Linked DNA regions of Neurospora crassa OR74A. The protein of the gene in region 1 interacts with the protein of each later gene in a pairwise test. Links are inferred from orthologs where the notes say so. Each region holds a gene or a part of one and is shown in the gene's direction. Other genes may lie near its edges.

What was found. The genes of interacting proteins can lie anywhere in the genome.
Region 2: the proteins of NCU02563 (region 1) and NCU06702 interact in a two-hybrid assay, tested with the Schizosaccharomyces pombe proteins (2 studies listed by BioGRID, with this or other methods). The link is inferred for Neurospora crassa OR74A from reciprocal best matches to the Schizosaccharomyces pombe genes tfs1 and yop1.
Region 3: the proteins of NCU02563 (region 1) and NCU07170 interact in a two-hybrid assay, tested with the Schizosaccharomyces pombe proteins (2 studies listed by BioGRID, with this or other methods). The link is inferred for Neurospora crassa OR74A from reciprocal best matches to the Schizosaccharomyces pombe genes tfs1 and SPOM_SPAC1F7.10.

The regions. Positions count from the first base shown.
Region 1 is NC_026501.1:2,742,737-2,746,357, forward strand, and holds NCU02563 (transcription elongation factor S-II), read left to right. Parts: upstream 1-1,309; 5' UTR 1,310-1,549; coding exon 1,550-1,681; intron 1,682-1,761; coding exon 1,762-2,517; intron 2,518-2,582; coding exon 2,583-2,591; 3' UTR 2,592-3,121; downstream 3,122-3,621. Other genes in the region: NCU02562 (hypothetical protein), read left to right, coding at 1-428; cys-12 (cysteine synthase 2), read right to left, coding at 3,242-3,621. UniProt on the Schizosaccharomyces pombe protein: Necessary for efficient RNA polymerase II transcription elongation past template-encoded arresting sites.
Region 2 is NC_026505.1:4,331,011-4,334,405, forward strand, and holds NCU06702 (yop-1), read left to right. Parts: upstream 1-1,146; 5' UTR 1,147-1,324; intron 1,325-1,520; 5' UTR 1,521-1,565; coding exon 1,566-1,619; intron 1,620-1,702; coding exon 1,703-1,918; intron 1,919-1,983; coding exon 1,984-2,009; intron 2,010-2,080; coding exon 2,081-2,176; intron 2,177-2,233; coding exon 2,234-2,348; 3' UTR 2,349-2,883; downstream 2,884-3,395. UniProt on the Schizosaccharomyces pombe protein: Required to generate and maintain the structure of the tubular endoplasmic reticulum network and the vacuole. Induces high curvature in membranes and causes membrane tubule formation. Involved in membrane/vesicle trafficking.
Region 3 is NC_026505.1:6,359,232-6,362,533, forward strand, and holds NCU07170 (hydantoin racemase), read left to right. Parts: upstream 1-1,371; 5' UTR 1,372-1,586; intron 1,587-1,687; 5' UTR 1,688-1,735; coding exon 1,736-1,846; intron 1,847-1,910; coding exon 1,911-2,591; 3' UTR 2,592-2,790; downstream 2,791-3,302. Other genes in the region: arp2 (actin-6), read right to left, coding at 53-484, 709-733; NCU17050 (hypothetical protein), read right to left, coding at 2,975-3,241.

The DNA.
Region 1 (3,621 bases):
TCACAGCAGTGCAGACGGTACTTAGCGAGGAGGACGTGGCGTTGGGAACTGCGGCCGTATCCGCTGCTCAGTCGCTTGGAGGCGCTATCTTCGTGTCGGTAGGAAACAGTGTATTTCAGCATCAGTTGCTCAAGGCAGCCGACGCCAACTTGCTCCCGGGAGTCGACATCAAGCAGGTGATCGAGGCGGGTGCGACAGCGTTCCGCGACTTGATATCGGCGGAGCAACTGCCCGCCATGATTCGGGTTTACAATAAGGCGATTCAGGCGGCGCTCATCATCCCCATTCCGCTAGGAATACTCGCAACTCTTATTGCGTGCTTCATCGAATTCAGATCGGTGAAGAAACTCATAAAGACCAACGAGGAGTCAGGCACATGCAGCACTGAACTTTCCGACCAGAGGCCAGGTACGAGCGCACGAATCTAAAAGGAGGTGTATCAGAAATCCGGGTCCAGGCGCATGGGATTCTTGGGGCGATTCATTTGCAGAATTTCGGAGGAGTAAATAGGCTCAAGAGGAGCACCATATGGATTAGAAGTAGGGGGTAGGTCAGCATGATTGCCGAATATTCCAAGCAATATTCTGGAGGTCAGCTCAAGAATCTGTGTGGAAGGATTTATGTCACCCTGCGACCTGAGTTAGCGTATTCTGTGACGGTTTGTGAGGGACGACTGAAGTTAATAGTAACTGTTGTTGTGAAGGGTGTTTCCTGTTGTTGGGGCAAGAATGACAAGTCGATGTGCAAGTGGTGCGTTCAGGGGAACAGTAAACAAATGCAGCCGAGCTCCTTCAAGTGCATACCATGAGTACTGTAATGTCTGATAGATACTACATCAACAATGACAGGCAGTATGTTGAGGGTTGCACCGGATCCGGAGCCCGAACAGCCGGCCGCGAGGTGCACACAAGCCTGTGACAAGTTGGAGCTTGTAAATACATAATGTTGCCTAGCGATAAGCAGCATCGCTTTGCCATATATTTGCAGATCTAGGGACCAAAGACCTCTCCTCTGTTTGCTACTTGCTCTCATTTCAGCTGCCTTTCTCGGATTCAAACAGCAGCCGTCAAATATTTGGCAAGAGATCTCACTCTCGTGGAATTGAAAGGAAGTCTTTTGTTACCACGGTTACCACAGGTGCACGGTTAGATTCGGACTGCCTGTTTCGTCTGTTGAGCGATTGCTATTTGACGGTCTCGGCCTGTCAGCCCTTTTGTTAGTCCATTCACTTTGTTCGGTGTGGAACCTGAAGACCGGCAGAGTGGGGCTCTTTCTTTGAAGCTCCACTAACATTTCTCCAACGATCGCTGCTCACTTTGCGACTCTTCTACCTGCTCGTCATTGCTTTTCCCGCTCGACCATCTTCATCCGCAACATCGTCCAGGACAAGCTCACTCGTTCTTGCTAAGCCTTGGCTCGATATCTATCTGACCTCGTAGTAGAGGGAGATTTTCGCATACCCAATCGAAGCCGCCGATTACCTGACGCGAACGCTATCGCTTGCGCATAGTCACACACGGCCAGCCTAACGTCATCTCCCACTCACACCATGGATGACCGAGAACTCGCCGCGCGCATCAAGGCGCTCTCCAAGGCTGTCACCAGTGAACCCCCTGCGACGGTCATCAAACTTTTGGAGGAATTGAAAAGAGATGCAAAGCCGACCGAGGAACAGCTTCGCGTGAGTCTTGCTCTGCCCTCCCATTAGCGCAGAGCGATCTATGTGAGCGGTATAAGTTCTGACAACTTTGCCCGTCCTAGTCGACGAAAGCAGGTGTGACCGTGGGAAAGCTGCGAGCCAATCCCAACAAGGACATTGCCCGTATTGCCAGCGAGATCGTCAACAAGTGGAGGAAGCTCGTCGAAGCTGCGAAGGAGGCGAAGAAGAAGAGCCAGGCCGCCGCGGCCTCCGGTGCCAGCTCCCCAGCACCCAATGCATCCCCGGCGCCCGCATCATCCGCGTACAACAAGCCCTACACTGGTGACGTCGAGAAGCGCCATTTTAAGACAGACAAGGTCGACATCAACCGAACCTCGAGCCAGACGCGCAACAACACCATCGGTGTGCTCTACAACGGCCTCGCTTACCGAAGAACTGAGTCGATTGAGGAAGTCGTCAAGCGTGCTGTCGAAGTCGAGAATGCCCTCTTCAAAGCTTGCAAGGGCGAAAACCAGGAGTACCGGAGTAAGGGTCGCACCCTCTTTACCAGCCTGAAGCGCAAGGACAACGCTGCGTTGGGACGACGAGTGATGTCGGGCGAGCTGCCGGTCGAACGCCTTGTCGTCTTGTCGGACAAGGAGTTGGCCTCGGAGGAACAGCGCGCTAGGGATGAAGAGCTGGAGAAGGAGAACATGAAGAAGGCCCAGGTACCCATGGCGGAGAAGTCGATCAGTGATGCTCTGAAGTGCGGAAAGTGCGGACAGAGGAAGGTGTCGTACAGCCAGGCGCAAACACGGTCGGCTGATGAGCCTATGACGACCTTCTGCGAGTGCACAGTTTGCGGAAACCGCTGGAAGGTATGGTTGATACACACGCTTTCTTTGACGGAAGTCAATTTGATCGCTAACAGTTGCATGTTTAGTTCTCTTAAATGGCGGGGCACAACAAGCTCCTTCATCACATTCCTTTTGGTATGGCTTGGGCCGCAGAGTGTGCGTCTTTTTTTCTGGCTCGATATGTTACTTTGAAGGGGAAATCCGCCTGTTGCACGCTTCGTTGGCTGATAATTCATGACTGGATCACATTCGCGTTTGGAAGCTCATTTGGCAGCAATATGAGATTGAGGTGTCTCAAGAATATCCCTCCACCTAGAGAGCACAATGAAAGAGGAGGAGGGGGTGGGGAGGAGCGGAAATGGAAAACAAAGTTACTCGAAGACGGAAGACGCTGTACCTTCGGGAACTTCTTCAAACATCGGAGTATGGATCATCTAACTTTTCTTATTATTTTTTATACCCCAGCGAAGAGGTGAGCGATGAATCACTAGCTACTTCATGACTTGGAAAGAGGTAGATATTGAGACGGGCAACGACCTACTTAGACCTCACACCACGCATTAGCAGTAATATAACCGTTAAGAGGCCATATGGCCGATATGGCTCAACAAACGTTTCTATGTGGACCTGTTGGACTCTCGGATGAGATACAATTAGAACATATCACATGTTTGATGACAGCAGCGAACTCAGCAAGCCTGACTCAGCAGGCACAATATTTACGTTGTTCAGTCCGTCTCAATTCCTACCTCTTCAATTCCTCTAGCCCCAACTCCGCAAAAAGATCCTCCGCTTGCGCCTGGGTATCGTTTTCCAGCCCCATATCGCCAATATGCTTCCAGAACTTGCTGAGATGTCTATTGCCCGAGTCGCACAATAACGTCACCACCCGACTGCCTCTTGGTAGTTTCATGGCTGTCACCACCGCCGCCACGCAGTTAACAGCCGTGCTACTGCCGCAGAAAATGCCGTCGTGCTCCACCAACCACCGAGCCATCCGGCAGGCCTGCTCATCTGTCACTCGCACGGCATCGTCAATCAGCACCCGCCCGGACTCAAAGTTCTCCGTGATGCGGTTGATGCCGATACCCTCCACCATCGTGTCCACCTGCTGACGCCGGCGTG
Region 2 (3,395 bases), on another chromosome or scaffold:
ACTATGCCTTTTCCGAACCAGTCACTCCAGACATCCGGTACACTACACCATGACGTTCCACCATGAATTACTGCCCTGGATGCCTGGCTGCGTTTCTGGTTGACAGGAGTTGTCATCCCGCCATAGGATCACAGAACAAACACTGTACTTCACTCCGTTGACGAGAGACTGCGCCAGCATTGACTTGGCAAGCATGTTCGCGTCTGACCGCTCGCAGAACGAGGGGAAACTGATCTCTCCCTCAGTGATATTGGTCATAGATACGTTGGAGAGATCAAACTGGTTGTTTTCCTGGTGAGCCATCTGGCAGAGGATTACACTTTTCTTTAGTAAATGTGAAGTGCGCTGCACATGCGGCGGCCGACACCCACCCGCATGAGGTGGAGCTGATTGCACGAAAACGCTAGTAGCGGTATCGCGGGGCTTCGAAAAGCTTCATGTTGGTCCATGTCATGAGTTCTGATACTCAACTTCAAACGTCCACAAGTTGTCATGGCCGCCTGTCTCAAAGATCAAAGCGCAAAGTGAGTAGAGCAGGCGAGGCAACCTCGAGAGAGTAACGCACTCTCCTTACTACCCAAATCTTCGAACCTCCATGGCCAATTGAAGATTGGACGGATACCGTGACAGTTTAGCCGCATTTGGCCATGGTAGATGTTTACAAGAAGCGGGAAGAAGCGACCAAAACGGTAAGCTGCTTGTGTGGATCCATGAAATGTTAAGAGAAAGTTATATCAGGATGATGATGATCTCAAAATGGAGAGAAAAACGAGCCGTTCGCAGCTTAGGCGAGGCACAGAAGGAGATGCATCAGGCCAATGAGAGACTGTTAGAATGTGCAACGGACAAAAAAGAAAAAGTTGAATGTTGATCCGACCCAGGCTCGATCTGGGGACCTTCAGTGTGTTAGACTGACGTGATAACCAACTACACCATCGGACCTGTTGATGACTTTAGCCAAAAGTCAATAAGTTTATCACCCGTACGCTCAAGCCATTCCTCGACCATATTCTCGTCTACCAATCCTGGTCAAACAGCTCCCGATGTGGCGTCACTGGGCTCTGGAACCAGTCAGATGCAGTTGATAACGGGAGGAAGCTTTGCGGCCCCACGGGCAGGGCAAGTTTCGGGTTGAGAACAGGATGATCCCCTTTTGAATGCACACGTATCAATCGTCATTGTTCGTTGTGCCCACAGCCCACAGCCCACTTCAACCCGTTCCCACACTCCAACTGCCATTTCCACGATAGCATCACCCCTAACCGCAAAAGGTCAGACGACACATTGCACTTCACAGCATCGTTACGGTGAATTCGAAAGCCAGGTCAGCAATTTTCTCTCAGCTTCCCGTCACCTCTCTGCCGGTGGTGCGGGTGTTCACCGAGCAGGCTGCGATTTTTAGGCCCAGCCCTCCCAGCTGCCCAACCCACTTTGTCACAGCTTCAGCTTCCCCGCCAGTTCCGACTCAGATTTTCCCCTGAACTTCAACTTTGCATCTTGCTGACGTCGAAACATCACAGCTAGCTCTAGATCGATAGACTTGCTTACCGCACCAAACACTCAAAATGTCTTCGCCTCAGGACCGCGCCCAGCAGTACATCGGCCAGCTCGATAAGGAGGTGCGTAAACCGCAGCCGGATCGCAGACATGTCGGCCAGGCCACGGCGTCGTTGGATTTTGCGTTGCTAACCTGCCTCAATAGCTGTCCAAGTACCCTACCCTCAACAACCTCGAGAAGACCACCGGCGTTCCCAAGGCTTATGCCGTCATCGGTCTCGTTGCTCTCTATTTCTTCCTGATCATCTTCAACCTCGGCGGCCAGCTCCTCACCAACCTCGCTGGCTTCGTCCTCCCCGGATACTACTCGCTCAATGCCCTCTTTACCGCTTCCAAGCAGGATGATACCCAGTGGCTCACTGTAAGTCGGGATATGCCTGATAAGGTCTTTGCCTATGGTGTCCATGCTAACCACCGCATTCACAGTACTGGGTTGTTTTCTCTCTCTTCACGTAAGCATTCCACTTTGGCTTTGCGTTCGATGTTGACTTGGTGCGCTTAATATCTAACCACGCGGCTATAGCGTCATTGAGAGCTTGATCAGCGTCGTCTACTGGTTCCCCTTCTACTTCACCTTCAAGTTTGTTTTCCTCCTCTGGCTCTCTCTTCCTACCTTCAAGTAAGTGGTTTCCCGCCTCTATCAGACTTTCAAGAAGACAAGCTTATATGTCAACAGGGGCGCCGAGACCATCTTCCGCTCTTTCCTCGCCCCCACCCTTGGCCGTTACTTCCAAAATGGCTCCACCGCCAGCGGCCTCCGCGCCAAGGCTGACGCCGTCCACACTGACTAAGCGTCTTATGGGCAACTGCCGGGCCTCTTCCGCTCGTTACAAAGTGTGCCGCTTTGAATGAGGCCCGAGGATACACAGGCAGATAGATGCACGGCCATCAAGTCTTTGCGCTGGACTTGTTGGCAACCATTCACGCGCGTGCAAGATTATCACAACAAAATCGGGGTAGAGGGATAGTTTGTTAACTGGAAATGTTGGAGATATGAGGTGGTTATAAGAGGACATGTGGTTACAGAAGATGGTGGCAGGATGATTGAGCCTGATGCGTCTAGAGAAGTAGGGACATATTTGGTATCTAACGATTGAATAAGTGGCAGTAATGAAGCATTCCTTGCATTGGGGTTGCTATCACTGAAACACTGAGATGTGTTCGACGTGAAAGGCCCATAGCTGGCCATCGTGTAGACGAAGCAATGGGGCACACCACATGCTTGCAATGTATGTCTGCTGGCCAGGACAGCCCAGGAAGGGTTTTGTTGACATCTAGACGACGTATAGAAAGCATAACCGCGCCACCTCAATTTTCTCTTCGCCGATGTGAGCAATCGATATCTCTTCATATGACTACAAGTACCGTATGCGGAAGGCCAACGACACTGCTGTTTTCCGTGATTCAGAAATCCACTGGAAGCCATCAATTTGGATGGCTGCTGCCCGTAAAACTACAGCTCGACAGGATGTACAACACTATCTAGAGGTAGGTATCAGATGGCTCGAGCTTTGAGCTCTGTTAAGCAGGTGCAAAACCTAGAGGTACACAGTAATCGGCATACGCTCCCCTCTCCCTACCCTCAGCGTACCACAATACCTTTAACGGTACTTGACACTAACAACCGACCTACTAGTTCCAGTGGTAGCCACCTGCCAAAAGTTGCCCAGGCCGGGCAGGGCAGTTGCTGACCACAGCAATCAAGAACATCCACTGATATTCTGTCTTGACGACCTCGAGCGCGCATGCTTCAGCTCGTTTCGAGGTCGCGGGTGAAATTTGAAACCCAGGGGAAACCATAATTGCCGACCTCAAACATTCGTTAATTGTACCTAGGT
Region 3 (3,302 bases), on another chromosome or scaffold:
TCTGTCAGCTACTTGTTTCCTCAAGTCGCCGTGTAAAGGAGCGGTGACATACCCTGAGCATACAATGCCAGCACCGCCTGGATAGCGACATAGACACCCCCAAAGTCGTAGCGCTCAAACATGACTTCGGTCATCTGCTCCCTGTTCTTCAACGGGTTCAAAGGCGGCTCCGTCAACAAGATCTTTCTTCCCCGCGTATCGACCTTCATCTTCTCGTGAAAAGTGTAGTCCCATAGGTGCTGCATGTCGTCCCACTTCTTGACGATGCCGTTCTCCATCGGGTAGCTGATTTGGAGCATGGTACGGGCGGCCGCGGCCTCGTCACCGCACATGATGTCTTTGATCACAATGTCGGAGGAGTCGGAAAGCGATTTGGCTTCTTCGGCGCGGAGAATGGGGCGGCCGACTATCGAGGGGTATTGGAATTCGGGGAAATTCTGGGCGGCGTAGCCGACCTTGAGGAAGCCGGTACCGCCATCGAGGACTGTGTTCGAGGGGGGAAGTGTTAGCTGGGCGCTGTGCTCATTTTGTTGTTGTGAAGTGGAAGTGATTGAGGACGGAGTCCGACGGCTACAGCTGCCATGGCGACGGTGATGACGCGGTCAGGCAGATGGGTGGGTGGTGGTGGTGTTGGTGGTCGTCAAGGTAGCTTGAGCTCGAGACACCAGATGGATAAGGGGTTGTTGGCGGAGAGAAGAGCTGACGTACCAATGGGAGCGTCGGTGTTGGCCATGCTGGGCGGCTGTTTGGTTTGGTAACTTTCAATGGAGTTGCGAATAGCTTCGTCGGGGTTTCGAATATCGAGTGTATATCGGAGCTAGAATGGAAAGCTCCCGCGGGTGAATCAACAGGAACCAAGTGTCGGTGGTCCCGTCGGTCGGTCGGTGCAGTGGTGTCGGTGCCCTGTCCGGGTTACGGTAGCGAAGTGGACTACGGCACCGTAATTAGCTGGAGTCCAGCGCGGTAGCCTAGCTGGGGGGGTAGCATCGATATGTGGGGTCATTCGCTAACTGCCAAGCTTTCCTTCAAACAGGGCGCCGCTCGTCTGAGCCAAAATAAAGGAGACGAGCGAGCAGGCTAGGTAAACCAGTTCACTAGACGTCAAGATCATAGAAAAGACCGCTGCAAGACCGTGACAGGGAATATAACAATTCAAAAAGACCTCAGCTAGAGCCCTATTTACACATTTTCATTCTGTAATTGCCTAGAACTTGAGAGTCAGCAGTATACCCAAGGAGCCAAGGTATCATGTCAAAGGTCTCGATTATTTTGACCAGGACGAGCGCCGATGACAAGCGGGTCTTGGCAGGATTCTGGACCCCAAGGAAGTGGCAGGCATTAGGGTACCCACGTGATACCCCGCATGAGACTCGCACTTGTACCTTCAGTAGTACATGCACCTTGTTGGGCATCGTGAGAGATCAGACGGGATGGATTGTGCATTTGAGAGTGGAGATTGATATTGGTTCTTCCCGTCCCTTCTTTTTTTGATTCTTCATTTGTGGTTATCAGACCCTTTGTTGCCTTATTCTTTCTCACTCAGGCCGTCGATACAATCGGTATTTTACCAACTCATTACGATACTAGTAGGTTGTTCCCATTCAGGTTCTACCATCGTCAATCTTTCAAACTGAGTACTTCATGATACCTCCCAAAATGGACTCAGACCTGACTATTTCCCTCTCAGACCATTTATCGATTCACCTCACTCACTCACCCCCCTTCCTTCGTCAACATGACTACCGCCCAGCAAGAACCAATCAGGATCCTGATCCTCAACCCCAACTCCTCCAAGTCCATGACCGATGGCATGGCAAAGTCTATTTCCAGCCTAAACCTCCCCGACGTCTGTCTTCCCTTCTCTCCTCCACCCCTAATAACCGAAAACGTGGACTAACACCCCCCTCCAGAACATCAAAATCACCTACTACACAGCCCCTACCTCTTGTCCAGCCAGCATCAACAACGGCACCGACCTGGATACCTCCGCCACCCACGTCCTCCAAGACCTCAGCAGCAACCTTCAACTCCTCAAAGACCACGACGCCGTCCTAGTATGCTGCTACTCCGTGCACCAACTCGTCCCCGGCCTCTCGGAACTCGCTTCATCCAACGGCTTTCCCCTCTCCGTCACGGGCATCTTTGAAGCATCCGTCCTCACTTGCCTGTCGCTGCTCACGGGCCCGACGAAGAAATGGGGCATTGTCACGACGGGCAAGTACTGGGAGGAGCACCTGACTGTGGGAGTCAAGAAATTCTTGGGTCAAGAGGAGAAAGGGGGAAATAATGCAAAGTTTGCCGGGGTGCAGACGACGGGGTTGGATGCGGGGGATTTCCATGGAGATATTTCCAAGGAGGTGATTGATGCGAAACTGGCCGAGGCGACCAAGAAGTTGTTGCAGGCTGGGGATGTGGAGTGTGTGGTGATGGGATGTGCGGGCATGGCTGGACTGGAGCAAATCATTCGCCGGACTGCGATTGAGCAGTACGGCGAGGAAAGGGGGAAGAAGGTCATGGTTGTTGATGGAGTCAGAGCGGGAGTTGGGCTGGTGGATGAGATGGTGAAAAATAGGAGAATGTTTACCCAGTAGGTAGGGACGGAAAGGGAGTGGAATTAGCTTTGAAGCTGGAGATTTCCTTTCGAGCGATTTGTACGCAAGTTCGTCGCAGTGCCCCCTGCCTTTTTCCAAGCTCTCGGGGCAGAAGTCACATCGTATATCATAGTTTGTTCTCTCAAGGCTTCATTCATGAATGCAATACATACAGTCTAGTACTGGTTGGTCTGTTAGTTCGAGACCTCGTGTCAACTTTCCTATGCGTTTTCATGGCTAACTAATGTACAATCTAACCTTGGGCACGCCATCTCTAACATTCAAAATGCCAAAGCAAATCCAACTAACTCCTTTTGATTTATCCATATAACCTTTAGGACTATTCGAAGTAGATTTTGTCTAGTACACTATGAACTCCCCCCTTATGCAACACCAATAGCACTATAGTAGGGCGGTGGTGGTTCTTGTTCTGCCGGTGCTGTGCGGGTGTTCGATAGCAGCAGTGGTTTGTCGGGTGATGCAGAAACGGGTTTCCAAGTGATGATGTAGTATCCCATGTCAAGCGGCCAAACAATCAGGAATATCAAGAATACCAAACAAAATGTTGTGAGCTGATACCGCCGAGTTTTGTTGTTTGCGTTCGGGAATTCCGTTATCGAACGTTCACCGTGCATGGCCGTCCATATCATCTCCGATCTGACCCAAAATCTCAGGATACTCAGGGCCAACCAGACAATGATGCCCGGAATG